Caenorhabditis elegans: one gene and its partners. The protein of the gene in region 1 interacts with the protein of each later gene in a pairwise test. Each region holds a gene or a part of one and is shown on either strand. Other genes may lie near its edges. The genes, in order: mkk-4, nhr-13, F54A3.6 and W03C9.2.

Region 1 (4,506 bases):
TTATATCAAACCACCCGTTTCCCCACTCCACCTGTCATAGTAAATAAAAACGAACTCAATCAAGCCGCAATACTCAAGTACATAAACAATATGTTTCAATAATTCGCGCCTAGCAACCGAAGTGCATGCTCGAGTAACCAATATAAGGTGTCGAAGAAAACAAACTGCAGCGGGACACAGCGATTAAATCAATCTAGCGTGGTGGTCATATAAGAAGTGCGAGAATATACTGAAGACGTACGCAAGTAGTAGTGTCCAGTTCCACTAACTATCGGTCGTTTGCCTCCCTGTTTCTTCCATTCATGCGTGCCCTCTTCTCCTCTTTCTCTTACTCCCGCGATTCTATTTCTCGACCACTCTCTATGTTTTATGTCATCTCTCTATTGATTCTCGTCTCGGTAGGCTTCCTCGGTTTCTTGTTCCTCCGAGTTCCCTCAAATGTTTTCCTTTCTCCGTTTCACTCATCCCTTGGTTTTCTCGCCGGCTTCCATTTTTATTGACTACTCATTTTTCAAACGTTTTTTGTCTCTTCTTCTCTGTCAGTGATTTTGATTTTTTTGTGTTCCCTTTCTCTCTTTATCTATCTTGCATGATTCATCTCCAACTTTGACAGTCAACTCATAAAACAGAAATGTTTACACTACATGAGCTGCTACTAGCTACGTCAATTACTATTTCATCCTCGTGACGTAGATTATTCCTAAACTTAGCACACAAAAAGAGCAAAGCTTAAAACTTCCTTTTCACATTTCATCATTTTGCAGCTAGTGTCATAATGTTAGCATCAGTCTTGTAGAAAATTATTAATATTTTTTGGTGTCACTTTATTTCAAACACAAAATACTAAAAATGATTATTCAGAATCTTGGAATTATAAACATTGTAAAAATTACTTTACAAAAACTCACTTAAAAGTATATATAATTTCCCGCATTATTAATCGTGAAATAAACAAGGCCATTGAAATCCGAAACAATTCCGAAGACAACGACCTACCGTTTTTTTCTAAAACTGGTCCTGAAGGTTACTCAAGTGTTCAGTTTGACAAAGACGTGGTCATCTTTTACAAAAATCTTAAAACTATTGCTGACCGACCTCACGATTTTTTCTTCAAGTTTTTTCTTCTTCAATTTCAAAAATGTTTCCTTACAGTTTTTCCAAGGTTTCAATTGTGTTTTCAAGGGCTTCCAACCTTTTTCTCATCAAACTTGCTATACGTCATTGTGTATGGTTGTATTATATTTGCTCAGAGTCATTTCAATTATTGACTGATTCCCACGCTAATTCAGCTTTATTCTGGCTTATTTTGTCAAAGTGAAAAAGTAATGTAATTGTTTCGTTTTTTGTACTGTGGTGATTGTGAACTTTCATTTGTTTCCTTTCTCAAACATACATTTCTCATTGTAACACACGTTAAACACAAAAGATACAACATTCATTTTGTTTTTACTTTGAAAATATCACAAAGGAATAGTTGGCAAAAAAAACCTGTCAACAATTTAGGTGGGCTGAAATTTCAATTCAACATTTTCAAATTTCTAGGTCTTAATTCACGCAATACTTCAATATGACAACATTACTTTTTTTAGTACATTGAAAATGCTTGACTCCATTATTCAATTTTCAGATTTCACGCATTTTCCTATTTGCTCTGATCAAATTTTGATTTTAATCTTTCTATAATTTTATTTATTTCCTGTTTTTTATTTTTACATTTTCAGAGTTAATGGTTCAAGAAGATGACGAGAATTTACGCAATTCAATGTCCCTTCGGCCGACTTCGTTGTCAACACGTCCCACATCACTTTCGGTAAACGGAAATGAGAAGACGCTTCCAGAAGAAAGTGTGTTGTGAGTGTTTTTTCCTTTTTTCAATTAGTCATTAGTAATCCTCTCGTTTTCAGACGTTCTCTTTCGACAGGCACATTAAAATACCCTGATGACGAACATTTATACACATTCAGCTCCGCTAATTTACAAGATCTTGGAGCAATTGGAAACGGCAATTTTGGAACAGTTTACAAAATGCGTCACAAAGAAACTGGAAAACTGATAGCTGTGAAGGTTTGACCAATAATTTGTTTTGTGAAAAACAATGTTTTTTTCAGAGGATACGATGCAACAACATTGGACATAGAGAACAAATCCGCTTACTTCGAGAGCACGACACAATTGTGAAATCCGAGAAAGGACCAAATATCGTGAAGTTTTACGGAGCGATTTTCAGCGAGGTGGGTATAAGAACAGATTTCAATTAAAGCAAAAATTTTGTTTGCGTCATGGTGAATAGTAAAACGTATATCTATATTTTTGTTTTCAGTTTTTTTTAATTCAAACTTTACAGGGTGATTGCTGGATTTGCATGGAACTGATGGACATTTCGATGGACCTTCTTTATAAACGAGTATATATGGTGAAAAATAGTCGGCTGAATGAAAATGTCGTCGGACATATCACAGTTTGCGTGAGTTAACATTATATAATAATTTGGAGTATTTATATTTTTACAGACTGTAGATGCATTGGATTATTTGAAGAAAGAATTAAAAATTATTCATCGAGACGTGAAACCCTCCAATATTCTTGTAGACGGAACTGGAGCAGTGAAACTTTGCGATTTTGGTATTTGTGGGCAGTTAGAAGAATCATTTGCGAAAACTCATGACGCCGGTTGTCAGCCGTATCTTGCAGTAAGTGTTTGAGTGTGTTCCATAAAGATCTAATAATTTTTTTAACATTTGTTCAAAAAAGTCTAAACCAAACCTTTAGCTGTTCTGCATTCTTCTTCTACATTGTTACTACAATTAGGAAATTCGGGTTTCGAAAATATTTATTTTTTTGAAATTAAAAAAAATGATAGAAGGTAGAATTGTAAATTGGTGGACAATTAGCAAAATATGATAGACAAGTTTCGAACATATGTTGAGTTTGTTTTTATTCAGCCCGAAAGGATTACAAGTTCAGACAAATATGATGTGAGATCGGATGTGTGGTCATTGGGAATAACTTTGGTAATTTTTTTCTGTTTTCAAAAATCCACAAACAAAATTTTTAGTACGAAATAGCAACAGGAAAATTTCCCTACCAAGAATGGAATTCACTTTTTGATCAGATTGCTACAGTGAGTTATTATCTATATCATTGCGCTATTTGTAGAAAAACATGTTTTAGGTAGTAAGCGGTGATCCTCCAATTCTACATCCAGACAGCGACGATTTCCATTACAGTTTGCCGCTTGTCAAGTTTATCAATACTTGGTGAGTTTGTTTTTGTAACATATAATTGGCAAAGTTTGTATTGAAATTCTTCAGCTTAACTAAAGACAGACGCCATCGGCCCAAATATGATACTCTGAAGAGTTTTGACTTTTATAGAATGTGAGTTTTTTATTTTCTCATTTAACAGATATCACGTATTAAATTTCAGATACGCAGTTGCCGGACCCGAAATTGAAGAGGCTAAGCGAATTCTTGGAGTTGAAGCAATTGACACAAGAAATCATCCTGTCGACCACAGAGGATAGATATTTACTGATTTCCAATTTTATCATGTTTTTGTAGATCTTTGTATTTTTTGCCAGGTTTTCAAAATTTTCAAACTACTTCTTTGATTTCTTTGAAAATTCTTCGATTCGTTTTTCATATTATTGTTTTTCAAAATATTCTTCGCAGCTTACTCAATTTTTGTCATTTTCCTATTCTCCCGACGCACAATAATAATTTGTTCCGTGATAGTGAATCCAACTAATTTTTTTTGGATAATTCCAATCGTCCATCTCACCCATCCCATTCAGAGCTCTACATTGTTAAAATATTTCGACGCTTTGGTATTGTCGTGTTTATTTCTCATCATCTCTCTTTCTCACTCTTTCTCTCTCTCTTCCCTCCGATTGTGCTAGCTTCCCATCTTTTGATCTCAACACACACCATGGTTCTTCTAATCAGTAACAATCATTTTGCAACAAACTCTAATTCTTTTAATAAACTGTTTTACACTAAGAAATGTGTTTAATTTTTATTCGTTAAGCCCTTAAATTGTGTTTTTACCATTCCGATTCGATGATGAGATGTTGATGAAGAATTAAGATCGTATAGTTATTCTTTTTTTTTTAATAGTTTTCTTATTAAAATTGTAATATAAAACATTTATACAATATAAACTCCAATGTTAAAACAATGTTCAATTTCGAAAAAAACGAGTCTTTTGAAAAAAAAACACTCTTTTGAAAATTTGAACCTGGTTTTTGAAACATATTTTTATTATTTCAAATATAAACATAGAATAAAATGCGTGAAATCAAAAAAAAAAGTGAAAAATAATATGAAAAACATTCAATGTGCCCCAAACTCTTAAACTTTCTTTCTTCAATATTATTAAATTTTTAAAATAGCTTTCCTAATACACAACCACACACGTTATTGTGATGTCACACGTAGAAACATTTTATGATTCATTCAACAGTTTTACTTTTGGTCAAGGTTTTACAAATAAACTTCATGTTTCATT
Region 2 (6,399 bases), on another chromosome or scaffold:
GAATTTTGGGAGAATTGATATGGTAAAAAATTGCTGATTTTTTTTAATATTAGGGATACATTTCTGGATCTAGATATTCCATCCCAGCCGCGCTACAGGGGTTTTTGTCTTGAATTCCAATTTCAACAGGTACTACCCTTGCGAAAAAAGGGTGGCACAAAAATTTTGGAATTTTGGGAGAATTGAACTCATTCCTTCTCTTTTTTTCCCTGAATCTTGCAAATTTGGCAAAGCGAGGCCGCCAGATATTTCGAGAGACCCTACGAGTTCTTCCCGGAGCATTTCTCCCAGAGAGAGTCGCCGAACGAGAACCATTCGCATTCGTCCCATTCTCAGCGGGACCCCGAAATTGCATTGCACAGAAATTCGAGTTACTCGAAGAGAAAGTCTCACTCTCGTTGATTTTCCGCAACTTCACCGTCACCTCTATGACAAAGTTTCCCGAAGAAATGCCAATCCCGAGCTAATTTTGAAGCCGCAGTTTGGTACACATGTTATTTTGAGAAATCGAAAAAATTGTGAAATAACATTTAATAAATTGGTTTATTCGAATAATAAAGCTAGTCGTAGGATTTTGTATTTTGAATATTTCACCAAAAACTTGTCACATCAAGCATAAGACTATCCACTTTGAGGATTCCGAAAATTGAGATCATAACGAAGGAGCAGTTGACGTGTCGGATTTGTTCCTGAAAGAAATTTGTAACTTTAGGAATGAAATATGTGCTTAATCACGGTGAAATCGCAACCACGGGGGACTGGTAACGATGCACCATGTTCCTGCGAATTAACTGTTTGTTTGCTTGTTTTAACGCAATTTTTCGATAAACTAAAATAGTACCAAAAGCTTGTCAACGATATCATCGACTTGTCTACGTTGATAATGCCGAAAAAGGAGATCATTACAAATGAGCTGACCACGTGGCGAATGTTCACCTGTAATGAATCTCTACAGATATATCTACATTGGTTTTGGGAAATTAAGCAAAGTGTTAGTTTTTCTAGCAAAGCAATGCAATTTAAATTGAAACCATACCATAATATAGTTCAGAGCCATCATAACGTTGCCAAATCGTTCTCCAACATCATCACTGTCAAGGTGGCACACATGATGAAGAGCCCGGATCAGACGGTTGCGTTGAGCAATCGCGATACGGCGACCATCCTCGCTGAGGCGATAGTAGGCTGGAATTTAAATAGTGTTGAAACTGTTTAGATTACGCTTTTAACAAAACATAAAAACTTCTTACTGAGCTTTTACAAAACAGTTAAATTTAGGATAATAATCAATTTCTTTTAAATATAGAAACGTAGAATAATGTCTGTTCACTCTAAAAAATAGTATTGATCTTTCTTGATCTGTTCCATATAGAATTCAAAAGGAGCCTGAAAGCTGCCGTTTGCCGTAAAATTGTCGTAGAAATTTGTACGACCAACGGCGATTTTCGGGGGCTGTTTGGGATCTTTATTGCATTTTTCAGCGAAAAAAGTAAAACTTTCAGCTTAAGTGAACTTTTTCCTACATTTCTACAGTGCGCGCGCTTGCTATATGACCCCCCTAAATTTTGGCAGTATTGAAAAACTCCAAATTTTTCGTGGAAAACTATTATGATATTTGGAATCAGGGTGTCGGAAAACCTATAATCCCATGTTTTTATGAATTTATCATAAAAATTGAAAGCACCCGACCAATATTTCAAAAATAAGACCGCGCGTTTGCTATAGGACCCCCTGAGGTTTTTGAAAATTTTCACCGAAATTCTCGATTTTTTGAGCTTCTATGGAAAAACCAAATTCAAAACTGTGTTTAATTACACTTTCAATGAGAAATTGTTCCGATTTATAACTTTTCAGAAAAATTCAAATTTCGATTTTCACTAATTTTTCGCATTTTCAGACGTTTAAGCTCGAGAAGAAGCTCACGTACCACTTTTGTGCTTCAACTTTTATCACCTGATTTGAATAGTAGTTTCGCAGAGTTTCGTAAATTTTGAGCTGATTAGGACAACTTAAACTCATTTTACAGCACGATTTACGCAAAGCTTTTGCCCTGTTTTCAATGCGCAAGCTTATTATGGGCTCATATCTGAGCTGCCAACTGATAAATCTTTTCTACAGTTATCAGAGTATTTACCTTACACGTTTTGCTAACTGTTTCAGGCATGCAGTCACTGAGAAAAAATTCGCTCAACCATCTACTGTGATCGAAAACTCACTCAGCACAAAAAGGCTTGAGAATGTACTGCAAATTGAGAACTCGCGATTCGTCGCCTTCAGATGGTTGAGCGAATTTTTTCTCAGTGACTGCATGCCTGAAACAGTTAGCAAAACGTGTAAGGTAAATACTCTGATAACTGTAGAAAAGATTTATCAGTTGGCAGCTCAGATATGAGCCCATAATAAGCTTGCGCATTGAAAACAGGGCAAAAGCTTTGCGTAAATCGTGCTGTAAAATGAGTTTAAGTTGTCCTAATCAGCTCAAAATTTACGAAACTCTGCGAAACTACTACTCAAATCAGGTGATAAAAGTTGAAGCACAAAAGTGGTACGTGAGCTTCTTCTCGAGCTTAAACGTCTGAAAATGCGAAAAATTAGTGAAAATCGAAATTTGAATTTTTCTGAAAAGTTATAAATCGGAACAATTTCTCATTGAAAGTGTAATTAAACACAGTTTTGAATTTGGTTTTTCCATAGAAGCTCAAAAAATCGAGAATTTCGGTGAAAATTTTCAAAAACCTCAGGGGGTCCTATAGCAAACGCGCGGTCTTATTTTTGAAATATTGGTCGGGTGCTTTCAATTTTTATGATAAATTCATGAAAACATGGGATTATAGGTTTTTCGACACCCTGATTCCAAATATCATAATAGTTTTCCACGAAAAATTTGGAGTTTTTCAATACTGCCAAAATTTAGGGGGGTCCTATAGCAAGCGCGCGCACTGTATATTAGTTTTCATTTCAAAAAGTTGTATTATCACAATGACATTTACAGTTTTGTTTTACATTTGCCGCACATGCAAGACCGTAGGTAAAATTTAAAAAATGCTTTTCTATATTTTTATGATTTTTTTAAATTTGCAATTTGCAAAACTGACAAAAACGACCTAATCAAATTTGAATTCCCGCGCAAATGAATGACGTCATTTTCGACATTTTTGCGTCTTCTGGCCCAATTCATAAGTTTTCAAAATTGAAAAAAAAAACAAATGAAAAATTTTCAACATTTTCAAAAAAAATTTTTTAAATTTGTATTCAGTCATTACGGTCCATTTTCTATAATTTACAGCAAAATTTCAAAATGAAACTACCCCACTTACAAACATGCCAAACACAAATCGCTTTCAGCAGACAAAATTCCTCATGGGACGGAGCAAGTTGAGCAAACGGCACGCAGGTTTCCCACTGATGAAGGATGAGAGGCATCAGAGTTCGAAACTTCATAAGATCGTCCTGACTTTGAAACAGCAGATTTGCATTCTCCTCGTAGCCTGTCAATGGTGTGGGCACCATTGGGATAAAGGTACCATCGCTCAGGACGAGCTCGTTGTGCTCGATTCCTCGTCTGCAAGAATTCAATTTTCAGGTTGATTTTTCAAATCTGTACTAACTTATAAGTATAGTATGCTGAATTGATGACAAAATCTACAGCGCACACGAGACGGTAGCAGAAGACCTGGAAAATTGAAGTTGCATTTTTCAGAAGAAAAAAAGTTTGCCAACTTACACTATCTGCATAGTTCATCTCGTCGAATCCGGGCATACCACGCGCGTAGTCCATGATCATCACAAAATCGTGCTTCGACATTCCTTGGCTCAACTTGTAATCGAACATTTTCAGCGGAGCATTTTCGTATGGCTAAATTTGATGTTTAGTTGAGCCCATTACCCAAAATTCTCACCCATTCCTTGCCACTCTCCAGCACAATACTGATAGGCGTCTCAGCGTACAGTAGCCGTCTTCGATCACACATGGATGCTTCCAGTTTCAAGAATTTTGTCACTGTTTCTTGATTTTCAGCCGATACATTTTCTGATGGTTCTGATGATGGTCCTGGTGTGGACTGAAAAAATTCATTTAGTTTTTTTTTTTAAGAAATTGGATTTTGAAAACCTCATTTTCCATTTCAGCATCCGATTCTTGAGGATCATCATCATTTTGAATTTCTTCGGAATTTTCTTTGACATTGTCGCCGAGTACTGATCTTTTGCGAATTAATCCTTTGGAAATCCGGATGTAGTTTTTCCGCTCGTTTTTTGATTTCACCACTGAAAAATTATTACATTTTTGAAAATATTAAGTGTGGATAAATTTTTTAAAGCTTCAAATTTTTTTTTAAATTTTTCACAACAAAAAAAATTTAAAAATTCAATTAAAATTTTTCATTGAAAATTTTTTAAACTTTAGTCTTGATATCCCATATATTTTTAGTATATTTTCTTGTCGATTTTAAGATTCATTTTTCAAAATGTTTTCGTACAAACTCACACAATGGCTTCATACCAATATCATGGCACTTTTTGAGCCGGCAAAATCGGCAAATCACGCGAGAATCACAATGAACACGACAGGCATCCGGTTGGTCAATACACTGATAGTCGAGCTTCATAGATACGGTGCGACGGAAGAAGGCAGCACAAGCCTGAAAAATTTTAGGTTCAATTTTTTCAAAAAGTGATATTTATTGAAATAGGTGTGGAAAAGTTGCAAAACAAAATTTTTAGTTTGAGAACCTTCCGTAAATAATTATAAAATTCAATTTAAAATACTCACCTTGCAAGTTCTGGCTCCAAAATGATTGCAGGAACTATTCGAGGACGATGAGCACACCTCACAAGAATTCGGGTTTGTGGGCATTTTTCTGAAACATGGAACATTTTTATATTTTTTATTGCAAATTGAAAAAAAAGAAGTCTATAGCCAAAAAAACGCAAATAAATGCAAACATATTGAACCTCATTGAAACAAATTGGTGGGTATCGACGAGAACGAGGGCGGTGAGAGACAACTAGGTACATAAGAGACGCAGACACATCGACAACAATGTAGTCTCTCGTGGTAAATGATCGACAGCGGCAGCGGCAAATCATTTACTCCGATAATGAAAAATGATGAGAATTCGATTAATTGTGGAGAATTGAAGAGTTGAAAAATTTATCTGACACGGGCTCCTCATAAGGCGTGAGATTTTCAACATGCCCGCGAAATTCAAACATGAATTCTTTTCGGGAAAGCCAAAATCAACAGGAACAAATAAAATTAAGTTTTGAAAAAGGTGTTAAAAGATGGTAGTAAAACAACAGAAGTTAAAAAAGAAACGGAGCATTAATTTGAAAAGTCCGCTCAGGGTGATGTGGTCAACTTAAGGCGTGCATATTTACGTGAGCGGGGTTTTTTTTTCACATTTTGTTTTATAATGTAAAAAAGTCATTTCTAACATTAACTACCACAGACAACTTTTCTGGAAATGTTTGATTTTTTTCCAGTCAAAAATTTTCAGAAAGATACACACTTTCAACAAAATGCATAGTCACAGAAATTCTGCAAAAACCTACATTTGAACCAATTTTACGGGTCTCGAAAATTGTGAAAAACGCACAGAAAAATGTCCAAATTTTTCGAATTTATTTTTAGTATTTCAGAAAATGAAAAAAATAATTACAAAACAATTGTACGTAATAATTTATTGTTTGAAGTTTTTAATAAATGATTTATTTTTTACACATAAGCTATACATTTAATTGCTCTCAGAATTCCACTCGAGTTGTTTTTTTTTCTATTAAAACACATAAATCACTGGGTTTTTAATTAATTTCGGTTTTTCTTTAAAATTGTGATCCAAAACTAAAAGTTGCATTCCACTGGGATCAAGTTTATAATTTTCTTTTTACTATATGTGTGTTTTCAATCTAGATATAGTTCCGCATTTTCAAATTGCATTAGGTTGCCAAGTTAGTTGTTTTTCAGTGTTTTTCCAGTAGACAGTGATAATTGAATCGCCTTCGAATTTTAGACCTTTGTGATACTTCCTTGGTGTTCATATATTTTTTAATTTTTTTTTAATTTTGCTCATTTAAATAAAATGGGTTTCAATCAAACAGTTTTTTTTTGCTTTAAAATATTAATTTTCCAGAAATGGATAATCAGCCTATCATGAATGTCTCAGCTTTAATAGTCACTGCAATTGGGGTATTTTCGTCGTTGTTCGCATTTGCTATGAACATTTATATTCTGAAAAATTTTGAAAGGTACCTTTTTGAACAGCTGGTCAACGCCAAGTTTTTTTTATTTAGAAAAGTTTCACTGTATAATACAAATCATAGGCGTAGATAACTCCGCAATATTTCAGGAAAAAAAACGATATGGCCCTGTTCCGGTTCCGATTTTTTTTGGACGTGGTT
Region 3 (7,960 bases), on another chromosome or scaffold:
TTTTTTTTCCGCAGAAAATTAGATTTTTAAAACTTTTTTTTGTGATTTCTCTGCTAAAAATTGAAATTCGGTTGAAAATCGTGAAAATTCGGCTGAAAACCGTCGAAATTTGGCCGAAAATCATAAAAAATTCGCCTAAAAATCATAAAAATTTGCCTAAAATCAAGAAAATTCGGGCACCTAAGTGCGATTTCTGCCAAAAAACCAAGATTTTGCGGAAAATAGCCATTTTTATTATAAAATCTGCTGAAAATGCTAAAAATTTGAAAGAAAAACATGAAATTTTTAACAATTTCGGCGTGAAATTGCATTTTCAGCGTTAAAATCCGATTTTTTAAAGCTATTTTCGCTATTTTTTACAGGGGAAAAGCCGATTTTTTAGCCATTTTTCTTCAAAAATCAGCTAAAAAGACCAAAATTTGGCCGAGAATCGTGAATTTTCAGCATTTTTCGGTGAAAAATCGGATTTTCAGCGTTAAAATCCGGTTTTCTAGCTATTTTCGCAATTTTTTTCAGGGAAAATTCGATTTTCCAGCCATTTTTCTTCAAAAATCTGCCGAAAAACGGTTTTTTTCGGTCAAAATCTGCACTTTCAGGCCTCTAAGCACCTCAAAATGGCGTTTCCGTCATTTGTCATGACAATTCCTCCCATTGGATCCATCAACATCTTTAGCATGGCCCGAGGGCCCAAACTTGTGCGAATCACGTCGGCGATCGTCTGAAAATAATTAAAAATTTGCGATTTTCATCGACTTTCAGCCCAAAATCTCACCTTGCAAGCGTTGATATTTCCGATTTGGACCTGATGGCCACTCTCACGCTTTGTACCCTGGCTGAGCACAATGATAGGCTGCTGTCCGGCTCCGCGCATCATTTTTAGCTGGAAATTTGGGGGAATTTTCAAGGAACACCTGGAGGAAAATGCAAAAATGGAAGAAACGGGAGTTTTTTCGCCATTTTTTTGGAAATTTTCTAGCAAAAATTGCAAAAATTCAGCTTTTTCCATCAAAAAATCGCTAGAAAACGCCATAAAATTGCCAAAAAGTCGCTAAAATTTCCGATTTTTGACAGAAATTTAGCTGAAAAAGCCCCAAAAATTGGCTAATTTTCAGATAAAAATATTCAAAAAACCGAGAAATTTGTATAAAAATCCACAAAATTTGGATTTTTGTCTGAAATTCAGTCAGTTTTTAGCCAAAAAAATTTGAAAAAACACAAAAAAACCGTTAAAAATCTGAAATTTAGCTGAAAAACCATCAAAATTGGCAAATTTCAAGCGAAAAAAACCGAGAAATTTATCGAAAAATCACTGAAATTCAGCTAAAAACCCTCAAATTCCGTGGGTTTTCAGTGAATTTCAGCGAAAAATTACCTAAAAATCGGCGGAAAATTGCTAAAAAACACAAAAAAGTCGTTAAAAATCCAAAAAATTTCGATTTTTATCCGAAATTTAGCTGAAAAACCATCAAAATTGGCCAATTTTCAGCGAGGAACCGCTTAAACAAGAATTTAGCGTTAAATTCAAATTTTCTAGGAATTTTTCTCGATTTCAGGGGTAAATACACCGAATTTTAAGGGTTTTTGGGTCATTTAAAGCCGAAAAAACGTCTAAAATCCCATAAAAACACGAAAAATCGAAGAAATTCACAAAAATCCGCCAGAAATTTTTCAATTCTTCTCGAAAACCGAATGGCGCCGTTTCAAAAAGAGGCTTCCAGTGCTTTTGAATGTTTTCGTGGCGAGACCCGCAGTGTTAAATTTTATTTTACACATTTCTGCCGCATTTTTCTGGAGTTTTCCTGCAAAATCATTATCACGACAATTATATTAGTTAGCTTGTAAAAAATCAGATTTATTAAAAGTCTAGAAATTGCTGAAAACAGGTCCCGAAAACCCCGCGGAATACGGTAACACTCGTTTCAGCTGTGCGATTTAATTTCGAGATATTTACGCGCTGTCGAAAGGGTATTTTCTGTTGACTTTCGCGGCGAAAACTCGAAAAAATTGGCAATTTCTATTGATTTTTGTCGATTTTTGCATAATTTATCGAAATTCGTGTTAAAAATCACATTAAGATCTCAAAAAACCATGCAAAACCACGGTGGAAATGGTGAGATTATCGATTTTTTCCGATTAAAACCCCGAAATTTCACATTTTTCAGGATATAATGGCTATCCGCCGCCAGAAAGGGTTAGTTTTCACGGGAAATTCAATGAAAATAATCATTTTTTTGTTCCAGAGATTCTACGACACGGAGAAAAGGGACGAGCGTTGGCGAGAGGAACGGCGAAGCGAATCTTGGCGGGAAAATCCCCAATTTCCACGACGAGAAGAAGCCTGGCGACCGATTCCACCACAATTTCAGCTTGGAAGAGGTATTTTAAGCTTGAAAATTCTGGAAAAACCAGGAAAAAAAACGGAAAAAACCAGAAAAAATTCCAGATCGAGCTCCAATGCCGGTCGACGACGCGTTTTTGGTGAGATATGGCGCAAAACGGTGAGTTTTTGGCCGAAACCCCGAGCTAAAAATGATTTTTCAGCCTTAACAACGGAAATTTAGTGGATCGAGACGGTTATACACTCAAAATCCGCGATCCAGACTGCCGAGCGGTAGGGTTTTCGCGCGGAAAATCACTGAAAAACCCCGATTTTTTCAGCCATCGCCTCCAAAATATAACCCGGGACGCGAGTTACGCAGATATCCAGACGCTTTAGTCCGAAGATCGGTGAATTTTTGAATAAAACAGAAAAAATGAGCCAAAAATGACCGGATTTGTGCAGTTTTTGCACGAAAAACCGCCATTTTCTCGATATTTTCTGGTTTTTTTGGGCGATTTTTGCCCTAATTCTTGAATATTTTATTGAAAAAATATTTTTTCAGCGCTCGCCACCACGATATCACTCAGGACCGCGTGAAGATCGATTTTCAGACAGAAATCCGCCTCGTGAAGTGAGTTTCAGCGAATTTTTGGAGAAAAATCGCTGAAAAATCGATTTTTTCGCAAGAAAATGAACTTTTTTAGCCAAAATTTCGCATTTTTAGCTGATTTCTAAGGAAAAATGGTTCGAAAATCGATTTTCCCGGCAAAAAATGAGCTCCGGGAGAGAAAACAGCAGGAAAAATGGATTTTAACGCTGAAAAACCGGATTTTCACCGAAAAAGTCTGAAATTTCGCGTTTTTCAGTTAAATTTTCAGCATTTTCAGCGAATTTCTGACTGAAAAAAATCGATTTTTTCGTGAAAAACTTTAATTTTTCTTGTAAAAATAGACAGAAACCCAAATTTTAACGCTGAAAATGCGATTTTTCACCGGAAAAGCCTGAAATTTCGCGTTTTTCAGTCAGAATTTAGCATTTTAAGCGAATTTCTGAAGAAAAATGGCTGAAAAAATCGATTTTTCTCGTAAAAAAAGCCAGAAAACCCGCTTTTTCACCGAAAAAGTCTGAAATTTCGCATTTTTAGCAGGAAAACCGGATTTTCAACGCTAAAAATGCAAATATTCACTGAAAAAATGCAATTTTACCCCAAAAAATCCCATTTTTTTTTCCAGCATTCACCACCACCACCTCAGAGATTTCCGGCGCGAGAGGTGAGTTTTAGGCGAAAAATTGCCCGAAAAACCCTAATTTTCCCCTAAAAATTCATATTTTCAGCGTTCTCCTGCATATATCCCGGGAAGATCGATTCAAAGTGCCGAAAAACCCGGAAATTGGTCGAAATTGAAGAAAAATGACCTGGAAGAGGTGAAAAATGGCTAAAATTGGCCAAAAATTCGGAAAAAAAGACTAAAAATCCAAAAAAAAGCCTAAAATCGTCCGAAATTCGGAAAAGTTACTGAAAATCGCCCAAAACCCCGAAAATTCGCTAATTTTCAGAAAGCCCGGAAACATATGGAAATGATGAAGGAATTAGAGCAAAAAGAGCACGAAATTAAGGAAAAACGGCCGAAAATTGACGTAAAACCCGAAGAAATTGAGGGAGAAGATGAATATGAAGACGTTGAGGAGGTAAAATCGCTCGAAATTCGTGGAAAATCGCTGAAAATCCCTCAAAAAGCACGAAAAACGGCTTAAAACCATCGAATTTGTGGAAAAAGTGCTCAAAAACGATCAAAAATCGAGGAAAATCACTAAAATCCGCAAAATTTCGATTTTTTTCCTGAATTTTAGCGAAAAATCCTCAAAATTCTCGAATTTTCAGCCCATTTTTCCTAAAATCCAATAGAAAATTGTCAATTTTTTCGAGAATTTCCAGCAAAATCGACTGGAAATTGTCTAAAAATTGCCAAAATTCCGATTTTTAACTGAAATTTCTCCAAAATATTAGAATTGGCCAATTTTCAGCGAAAAAATGGCGAAAATCCGAGAAATTTGAATTTTTGTCTGAAATTCAGTCAGTTTTTAGCCAAAAAATGTTTAAAAAACAAGAAATTTATCGAAAAATCACTGAAATTCAGCTAAAAACCCTCAAATTTCGTGGGTTTTCAGCGAATTTTAGCGAAAAAAAATCGAAAAATCTCCAAAAATTTGAATTTTTATCTGAAATTTAGCTGAAAATCCTTCAGAATTGGCCAATTTTCAGCGAAAAAATGGCAAAAATCCTCAAATTTTGTGATTTTTCAGTGAATTTCAGCGAAAAACCCCCCTAAAAACCACTAAAAATACTGAAAACTGAAATTTAGCGGCGGAAAATGCTGTAAATTTCTCAAATTTTTAGGTAATTTTATTAACGCAAATTTATCGAAAATTGCTGAAACTCCACTGAAAACTGAAAAAATCCCCAAAAATCGTGAATTTTCAGCCAATTTTTTACACGATAATTGAAAAAATCGGCGGAAAATTGCTAAAAAACACAAAAAAGTCGTCGAAAAATACAAAAAATTCCGATTTTTCTGAAATTTAGCTGAAAAACCGCTCAAAATCCGTAATTTTTTAGCGAAAAATCACCTAAAATCCTCTAAAAATCCCAAATTTTCAGCCAATTCCCCCACCAAATACTCGTAAAACGTTGCTCGGCGAGCCACCAGCGGGAGCAGCTTCATCCTCATCACCATCAGCTCAATCATCAACTGGCTCATCAACTGGCACATCTTCTTATCAAAATAATATTAAAAAAGCATTAATTCCCGGTAAACCACCAGGACAACCGATTATCAGAAGAAAACCAGCTTCATGGTATGAAATGTACAAAAAACAAGTGGATTCATTGAAAGAACAGGTTTATGGGTGAGTTTTTGGATGGAAATCGATGGAAAATGACCGAAAATTGGAAAAATCGACGAAAATCGACTGGAAATGGCTTAAAAATCGACGAAAATGCTGAAAAATGAGCTGAAAAATGTCAAAATTTCGAAAAATTGGCCGGAAAATGACCGAAAAATTGGAAAAATCGACGAAAATTGACTGAAAATTCAATTTTTGGCTAAAATTTCCGATTTTTCGACGATTTTCACTGGAAACTGTCAATTTTTTGAATAAAAATTCGGAAAAATCCCTTTTTTTTTCAGCTTTTTTCCATCAGAAAATCGGCAATTGTCACCCAAAATGCGGATTTTTTTCTGAAAATGAACGAAAAATCGACAAAATTGCCAATTTTTCGCCCCAATTTCCCGAAAATTTTTATGAAAAACTTTCAATTTCTCGCCAGAGTGACTGAAAATTCGGAAAATCCCCAAAATTTCAGCTTTTTACACCAAAAATCGCTAAAAAATCCCGAATTTTCCACGAAATTCTCCCGTTTTTTCAGGGAAAAATCGAAAAATTCCCTACTTTTTCGTTAAATAGCCCATTTTTTCAATTTTTTTCACCAGAAATGCGGATTTTTTCACTAAAAATTGCTGAAAATAGCCGCATTTTTTCCAATAAAAATCGATTTTTCCAGCTTTTCTCATCGTCGAAATCGCCGGAAATGGCTCAAAAATCGACGAAAACCTTCAAAAATCGACGAAAAATGACCGAAAAATAGCTGAAAATTGGCATAAAAATGCCAAAATTTTACTTTTCAACAGGAAATTCCAAATTTTTCCTGGAAAAAAACACTATAAAACGCGCAAATTTCCGATAATTTCGCGGAAAAATGTGCTGAAAATTGAATTTTTCCATCAAAAAATGGTAGAAAAATCCGAAAAACTTGATTTTTTCAGCTTTTCGCATAAAAAATCTCCAAAAAACCCCGAATTTCCTCGTGAAACTTGCTGAAAATCCAAAAAAAAATCGATTTTTCCAGCTGTTTCCGTTGGAAATCACGGAAAAATCCTCGAAATTTCCAAATTTTCCGTCTCAAAAATACGAAAAACTCTATTTTTTCCAAGTTTTTCCACCAAAAATCGCTGAAAATCCCGAATTTTCCATTATTTTCACCGGAAATCCTCAATTTTTTTGAGAAAAAATTCAAAAAAAACTATATTTTTCCACTTTTTCAACTTAAAATCTCATATTTTTCACTAAAAATCCTATTTTTTTCCCTCTAAAACCTCTCAATTAACTGAAAATGGTAAAAAATCCGGCAAAAACGGTAGAAATTTGACTAAAAATGGCCGAAAATTCGGAAAAAATGGTAGAAAGTTGACTAAAAAAGCCAAAAAATCGGAAGAAAATGTCAAAAATTCACTGAAAATTGCCGGAAAAACTGAAAAAAGCGATGAAAAATGATTGAAAATGTCAAAAAATTCGGCAAAAACGGTAGAAAATGGTCAAAAAACCGAAAAAATCACTGGAAAATTTGTAAAACTTTCAAAATTTCACTGAAAATGGCCGAAAATAGCCTGAAAATTCAATTTGCTACATGAAATATCAGATATCAGATTTTTAACTGTAAAACTGGCAATTTTTTGAAATTTTTGAATTTTTTCACTAAAAAATGCGGAAAAATTGCATATTTTCGCTGAAAAACTTCAATTTTTAATTACTCCATTAAAAATTACCCAAAAAATTCCGATTTTCCCTCTATTTTCATCGGAAACTATCAATTTTCTGGCAAAAAAATCACACTAAATTCGTTGAAAAATCGCCTAAAAACCCCGAATTTTCCTCGATTTTCACCAAAAAAGCGGAATTTTTCACTAAAAACTAAATTTTTTTCAGCTTTTCCCCGTCAAAAAATACAAATTTCGCCTATTTTCTCCGAAAATTCACAATTTTTTTCCAGAAAACCCAATCCACCACCACCATCAGCCGGTTATTTCTTCCAAGCACCACCTCCAGCACCAGCTTCTTCTTCATCTACAGTACCCCCTGCTGTGAGCCCATTTGGTGTCCCACTTGGAGCACAACCATCCACCACGTCATCCACCACCTACAGTAGTAACTACAGTAACCCGTCGTATCCGCCGCCGCCAAAAGTTGATCTACCACCACCGGGAATTGTTCAACTGGACAGAGTCGTCTATCCTCCTGTATCACCACCGAGCCCACCATTGGCGGCTGCTGCTCCGCGAGCATCAGAGCATTTTGTTCGAAATGGACCAGTTTTGGGTCGAATGGTACGGAAAAGCTGGAAATTTAGAGCTTTTAAGCTCAAAAAGTTCTCTGTTTGGCTTGAAAATTGCAAAAATTTCAGTAATTTCAGCTAAAAATCCGTGAAATTCAAGCTTTTTGGAAGCTTTCAACTCAAAAATTGCCTGAAAATTCTGAAATTTTGAGCTTTTTGGCTTTAAATTGCTCTGAAAATTGAAAATTTTGGCTTCGAAACTTAAAAATTCGTCCAATTTTGAGCCAAAAAGTGTTTTGATAATTTTGATAATGAAAATCAGCGAACATTATTTTGAAATATCGAAAATTGGCAAAAAATTCGAGAAATCCTACAAAATGCTCAAAATTTTGAAATTTCCATCTCAAATTCGAATTCCTCGCGAAATTTCCGCCGCTTGAAACCCGAAAACCAGAGCTCTCTAGCTCAATTTTGAAATTTCCCGGGTTACTGTAGCGCCAAAAGTACGCAAACACCGACCTACAGTACCC
Region 4 (5,200 bases), on another chromosome or scaffold:
GCAGTATTCGTAAAAGTGGAAGATTTTTTTTCGAAAATTTGTTGCGAACGTTTTTTGAATTTTATCACGTTTTTTTTGTATTTCAATTTGATGAGATATTCGGGTCTATTTCTGTATTTTTCTGTGCTCTTAATTTGTTTTTAATGCGATGAATAAAATTTAATTATTTGTATTTTTGGATATTTCTGCTCGGCACACTCCTCCTCGTGCCGCTCTCTTGTCAATGCCTTGTCGTTCAATTTCGGTGACACCGTTGTGGCGCAGGCGGGTAGCGGCTGCGCGGCCGTGAAACACGCCGCGGGTTCGACCCCCCCCCCCCCGCCGCTTTGCCGTTGATGATCAATTGAGCATATCACTGACTGTTGGTGAGGTGATTTCATTAGCTGAGGCTTTTTACACTTTTAACACTTTTTCGTTGAAATCAAGACAACTTTATTGATTTCTCAAGATCTCTGTGAGATAGTAGTTGGTTCCGACTCTCGGGAAGAACGCGATTCGGAACGATGCATGCGATTCGAGTGCGGCGAGATTGCAGAATGAGGGTACACTGTGTGGCTTTTTTTGAAGGCGAGGCGATCTTGGTTGAGGCGGAGCAAACGGGAGTCTGATATATAGAGATGTGGATGTATATGGATTACTGTATGTACCTTGAATATTCAGCGGAATGCTTGATCGGGAAGATTTTAGGGTTGCCGGGTCAATCTTCAGGGATGGGACATCGAATAGCGAATCTTCTTCGTCGGTGCACTGAAATTTAAAATATTTCGGATTTTGATCAAGAAATTTGAATTCAGCTCAGGTTACTGTAGCTTTTCGTGGTGGGACCCACATTTTTTTTTTCAAACTCAATTCAAACTCAATATACTTATACTTAAAGTTAATTTTACACGATTTTACACGTACATAGTAGTCCTGTGGGCTCTTCTTGCCACGCCGAGTTTGTCGCACACGAGATCTCAGTTTTTCCACGTATTTCGGCGGCGGAGACGGCAGAATTTGCAGTCCGTCGAGCTTCTCGTCATCACTGAACTTGTAGTTATCACTGAGAGGTGACTCGTGTTCTGGAAAATTTGAATTTCGCGGGATGGTTCTCAATGGGGCGCACTTGCCGTCGTCCTCAGTGATCGATTCTTGTGTGGAATCCAACGTGGGTTCGCTACCGACCGCGGTTTTCAAATCCTCGTCTTTTCCGTGATTGAAAACGAAAAATTTCGAAAGTTTCTTCGCCTTTTTGTCCTTTCCATCGACTTTTTTCACAGTTTTTCCTGGTTTTATCTGAGAAATTTGAATTTGCCACCCATTAGCACTAGAGCGCACTTACCTTCTTCTCGTCTTTTTTCGGTTTCACAGCGACTGGCAAAGTTTTTGTGTAAGCTTCTGAGGGGTCAGCAGATCCCTTAAACTTCCAAGCCGTTTTCAGGCACGAGACGAGTGCGAAACTTGTAACGAGAAATGGGAAAGTTACGATTAGAAAAAACTGATCTTGCTGCATTTTTGTTGTAGAAGAATTGAATCGAAGGTTCGAGAGATGTTTGGAATTAGAAATAAATTTTTTTAACACTTTGTTTTTTTTTTGTTGATAATATTAAAATCTTTTTCCTTGTTTTTTTCTGTGGTTTTCACGATTTTCTTCTTTCTTTTTTTTAATGAATTTTGAATTTTCAAATGATTTATTATTTACGCTAAACAACACACGCTACGATGCTCCGCTGTTATTTCGGAGCATCGTTGGGCGCAAATTTTTATTTTTTATCCATTTTCCTTTCTTTTTCACTAAATTTTTCAAGTTTTTTGCACTTTTCAGATGACATGGAACACGTGCTCACTCTGTGTTACCTCTGAGCTCATGAATACGCTGGATGAAGCGAAAATTCCGTTGCAAAAAGTAAAAATCGACAAGAAAACTGAAAACCCAAAATTTTCCTATTTTCAGGCTGTCAACTATCACGAGCAGTCGCAAAATCGACAATTTCGCATCACACTCATCACAAAATGTCTGGAAAATCAAGAAAATCCGGAAAAATCTGAAGTTTCAGTGAATTTTTTCGTCGATTTGAAGGAGCTCGTCCCGAGTTGCGCTTATTTTGAGAAATTCGATGGCGTAAGTGTTTTTTAAAGTGATTTTTCAGAATTAAAGTGAATTTTTTACAGCTCAGCTACGTGGAATTCTCGACAAACTGCAAATCCACGTGGATTTCGGCTCCGGAAAGTGTTGCGGCACCGCACGAGGATTGCAGTCACCGCTTCCAATCGCCGATCATTTCCAGAAATTTCCACGCGTTTCTGGACTCGGTGTGCCCATCGCTTTACGGGATTCGCCCAACACCTCTCACTTGTAATATTTTTAGGATTTTTTGGAGCGAAAATTGGAAAAATGTTGGAAAATCACTGGAATTTCAGCAGGAAATATTGGATTTTGATCGAATTTTGCAATATATCGGAGAAAATTTCAATTTTTTGGCATTTACAATTAAAAAAAGGCTCAGATTGCACTTTTGAGTTGATTTTTTTTTGAGAAACTATGTATGTGAGAAATGGATTTTGACGCTATTTTTCAACAGATTTTAGCTAAAAAAAAAAGACAAATTTGTTTGATTTTCAACTAAAAATAGCTCATAATTGATTCTTTTTATAGTTAATAGAGATTTTTCTGCACATTTCATTGAAAAATAGCAAGAAAATAATTTTTTTTTAAAACTAGGTTTAAAAATCAGTTTCTTACGCAAAAATATTAAAATTATGGAAAAATGGCCTAAAATTTATTTTTTTCAATTAAAATACACGCTACTTCAGCTAAAAAGGCTCAAAATTGGATGAATTTTTGAATTGCCACCAAAATGAGATCTGCAACCAATCAGCGATTAGCTGTGGGCGGAGCTCATCGCTGATTGGTTGCAGCACTCATTTTTGAGGGAATTCAAAATTCGCGTGGTTTTTTTTGTGGTTTTATCAAATTTTGGGCTATTTTCAGGTATTTTGTAGCAAAAAAATAAAATTTTCACTTAAAAAATCGCAAATTTTCAGTGTCAAGCATCGTCCCCGTCCTGGATATGCTTTCACATTTCCACAGTGAACCACTTCTCACCAACTGTGAGCGTTTCCTAATGTCTACAAATATCGGTCATTTGGACGGAAATCATTTGATTCGACTTCTCGACAAAGGCCTCTGCGTCAGCCTGGACCATCGGATTTTGGGCCGAATTTTGTGCATTTGTCTGATGAGCCCACAGGCGAAAATGTCCGATTCGTCACAGGAACTCGCCGGCACTATTGGATCCGTTTTTGCGCAGGCTTTTGTCGCGTTAGTATATCAGAAATTGATGGTGAAATGTGAAGAAAATTCGAATTTATTGATTGAAAAATCGAAAAAATCAATTTTTGATGGGATTTTCATGGAAAATTTGAAAAAAAAACTAATTTTCCATAATTTTTATGAATATTCGTACGCTTAATGGAAAAATCGAACAGATTTCGAATTTTTCCCTCAAAAAATCCGAAATTTTAGTTTTTTTATTGTTAAAAATGTATGTTTTTGAGGGATTTTTCATGAAAAATAGAAGAAATTTCGAATTTTTCGCTTAAAAAAATCGAAAAATTCACTCAAAACCTGAAAAATCAGAACATTTTCAAACAAAATTTTCAAATTAACGAATTTTCAGAAATATTTCAAAAAGCTTCCGCCACATCAAGCCACTCGAACAGGAGAGCTCACTTTGGCCAATGGCAATGCGAAATTTGTTGATTCCGGGAGCTCTCGGAGCAAATAGCTCATCTTCAAAGGGATCTTCGGAAGAGAAAATCGGGAATAAGAAGAGAAAACGTCAGGAATGCGATCATAATGAAGAATCGTAAGGGAGAAAATGAGAAAAATCACTGAAAATTCGTCAAAAACGAGTTAAAATCGGATTTTTTGAGGAAATTTCGGAATTTTTTCAATCAAAAATTCAGTTTTCGCCTATTTTTAAGAAAATCGTGAAAAAAGTTTCGTATTTTCGGTTATGTGAATTTTTAAAAAAAACATTTACAAGATTTCGGTGCAAATTTAATTTTTTTTTGGAATTTTTATAAAATTCTCTGAGAAAAAAAAATTATGTATACTTTTAAATATTGAAATTCCCGTAGAAAAATTTTAAAATTTTTTTTAAATTAAAAAAAATAAAATTCGAGACAATTTTCCATAAAATTTCAGCGAAAATTGTTCTTTTAATGGATTTTCTATTTAATTTCCACCAAAAATATGCAATTTGTTTAATTTTTCCAGATTCGAGTGTATTCTTTGCTTCGACCAGCGTTGCGGCAAGTGCAAGGGAGAAGCCGCGTTCTGCTACAAGGTTTTCAGGAAAATCCCCACAATTTCCAAAAAAATCTCGGGTTTTCAGGCTCTGGACAATTTCCTGTACGAGATTCGTCTTCAACTGTATCCACACACGTATCGTCCACATTTGGATCGCGATTTGCTCCGCGAGGAACGCCTCAGCGACTACATCCTCCGCAACCAGTTTCAGCCACTTCCAGACGCCAATTGAGAGCCAGCTTGTTGAAAATTGAAGAAAAAACTGTAAATATTGACCCTACTCACTCACAAAACTTGTAAATTTTACCTAAAACATATCCTAGAAAGCCTAAAATTCGGACAATATATGCTCATTCTTGTGTGGATGTTAAATTTATATAAAAAGAACATGCAATAATTTCTGGGAAGGGAACTGAATTTCGAAAAAAAAATTAGAATTTCGGTGTAAAAATTTACAAATGAATGGCAAATATATCAGGGGGGGGGGGGGGGAACGAGAAAAAATGAAGAAAAAAAGTGAGTTTGAGTGAAAATGAAAAACTAGAAGGCATCGAATGGTGTGTATAACGGAAGAATTTCCCAGAAAAAAAGTAGATGGTGATTGGGGACCGGCAAAGGGTGACTACCGTAATCTGTGGGATTTTCTTTTCAAATTTTTTGGGATTTTTAGAAAGTGGAGACGAGGGAAGAGGAAATGTGTGTTGTGTGGATTGAATTGAATTGAATCGAATGTGTCAAAAATACATTTTGTGCAGATAGAGATAGAGGGCTCTGCGCGGAGCAGCACACGGTTAACAATTGCATCCCGAATTCTGCTGGTTCTGTTGATTTGGGTTGAGACGGATTTGGTCGGGAAACTCTGGGAAATCGTTGGTTTCCTGAAAAATTTAAAATTTTTAGTTTGCT

Evidence for each region.
Region 2: the proteins of mkk-4 (region 1) and nhr-13 interact in a two-hybrid assay, tested with the Caenorhabditis elegans proteins (one large-scale study listed by BioGRID).
Region 3: the proteins of mkk-4 (region 1) and F54A3.6 interact in a two-hybrid assay, tested with the Caenorhabditis elegans proteins (one large-scale study listed by BioGRID).
Region 4: the proteins of mkk-4 (region 1) and W03C9.2 interact in a two-hybrid assay, tested with the Caenorhabditis elegans proteins (one large-scale study listed by BioGRID).

What each region holds. Positions count from the first base shown.
Region 1 is NC_003284.9:10,026,135-10,030,640, forward strand, and holds mkk-4 (MAP kinase kinase mkk-4), read left to right. Parts: upstream 1-1,721; 5' UTR 1,722-1,726; coding exon 1,727-1,851; intron 1,852-1,904; coding exon 1,905-2,064; intron 2,065-2,108; coding exon 2,109-2,231; intron 2,232-2,344; coding exon 2,345-2,464; intron 2,465-2,510; coding exon 2,511-2,690; intron 2,691-2,942; coding exon 2,943-3,011; intron 3,012-3,055; coding exon 3,056-3,121; intron 3,122-3,171; coding exon 3,172-3,257; intron 3,258-3,311; coding exon 3,312-3,377; intron 3,378-3,426; coding exon 3,427-3,523; 3' UTR 3,524-3,996; downstream 3,997-4,506. UniProt on the Caenorhabditis elegans protein: Activity is required in presynaptic neurons, in a dose-dependent manner, for normal presynaptic development and morphology.
Region 2 is NC_003283.11:2,190,957-2,197,355, reverse strand, and holds nhr-13 (Nuclear hormone receptor family member nhr-13), read right to left. Parts: upstream 4,872-6,399; 5' UTR 4,856-4,871; coding exon 4,772-4,855; intron 4,641-4,771; coding exon 4,487-4,640; intron 4,267-4,486; coding exon 4,112-4,266; intron 4,062-4,111; coding exon 3,900-4,061; intron 3,857-3,899; coding exon 3,725-3,856; intron 3,674-3,724; coding exon 3,609-3,673; intron 3,563-3,608; coding exon 3,318-3,562; intron 1,186-3,317; coding exon 1,037-1,185; intron 937-1,036; coding exon 842-936; intron 690-841; coding exon 653-689; coding exon of another isoform or gene 591-652; 3' UTR 529-590; downstream 1-528. Other genes in the region: srbc-42 (Serpentine Receptor, class BC (Class B-like)), read left to right, coding at 6,134-6,246, 6,348-6,399. UniProt on the Caenorhabditis elegans protein: Orphan nuclear receptor. Involved in regulating fatty acid desaturase genes, acting in concert with nuclear hormone receptor nhr-49.
Region 3 is NC_003280.10:2,226,460-2,234,419, reverse strand, and holds the start of F54A3.6 (Trithorax group protein osa), read left to right. Parts: upstream 1-1,949; 5' UTR 1,950-2,088; coding exon 2,089-2,110; intron 2,111-2,162; coding exon 2,163-2,191; intron 2,192-2,240; coding exon 2,241-2,376; intron 2,377-2,443; coding exon 2,444-2,498; intron 2,499-2,541; coding exon 2,542-2,611; intron 2,612-2,658; coding exon 2,659-2,727; intron 2,728-2,882; coding exon 2,883-2,951; intron 2,952-3,552; coding exon 3,553-3,591; intron 3,592-3,655; coding exon 3,656-3,745; coding exon of another isoform or gene 3,746-3,760; exon of another isoform or gene 3,761-3,832; intron 3,833-3,877; coding exon 3,878-4,009; intron 4,010-4,979; coding exon 4,980-5,227; intron 5,228-5,243; exon of another isoform or gene 5,244-5,295; intron 5,296-6,297; exon of another isoform or gene 6,298-6,351; intron 6,352-7,148; coding exon 7,149-7,482; intron 7,483-7,889; exon of another isoform or gene 7,890-7,949; intron 7,950-7,960. Other genes in the region: cct-3 (T-complex protein 1 subunit gamma), read right to left, coding at 609-718, 773-871.
Region 4 is NC_003280.10:11,960,570-11,965,769, forward strand, and holds W03C9.2 (uncharacterized protein), read left to right. Parts: upstream 1-1,798; 5' UTR 1,799-1,804; coding exon 1,805-1,885; intron 1,886-1,933; coding exon 1,934-2,101; intron 2,102-2,151; coding exon 2,152-2,335; intron 2,336-3,024; coding exon 3,025-3,301; intron 3,302-3,659; coding exon 3,660-3,848; intron 3,849-4,261; coding exon 4,262-4,331; intron 4,332-4,379; coding exon 4,380-4,526; 3' UTR 4,527-4,689; downstream 4,690-5,200. Other genes in the region: W03C9.6 (MFS domain-containing protein), read left to right, coding at 1-13; W03C9.1 (uncharacterized protein), read right to left, coding at 444-604, 648-747, 904-1,061, 1,110-1,275, 1,322-1,492; rab-7 (Ras-related protein Rab-7a), read right to left, coding at 5,086-5,172.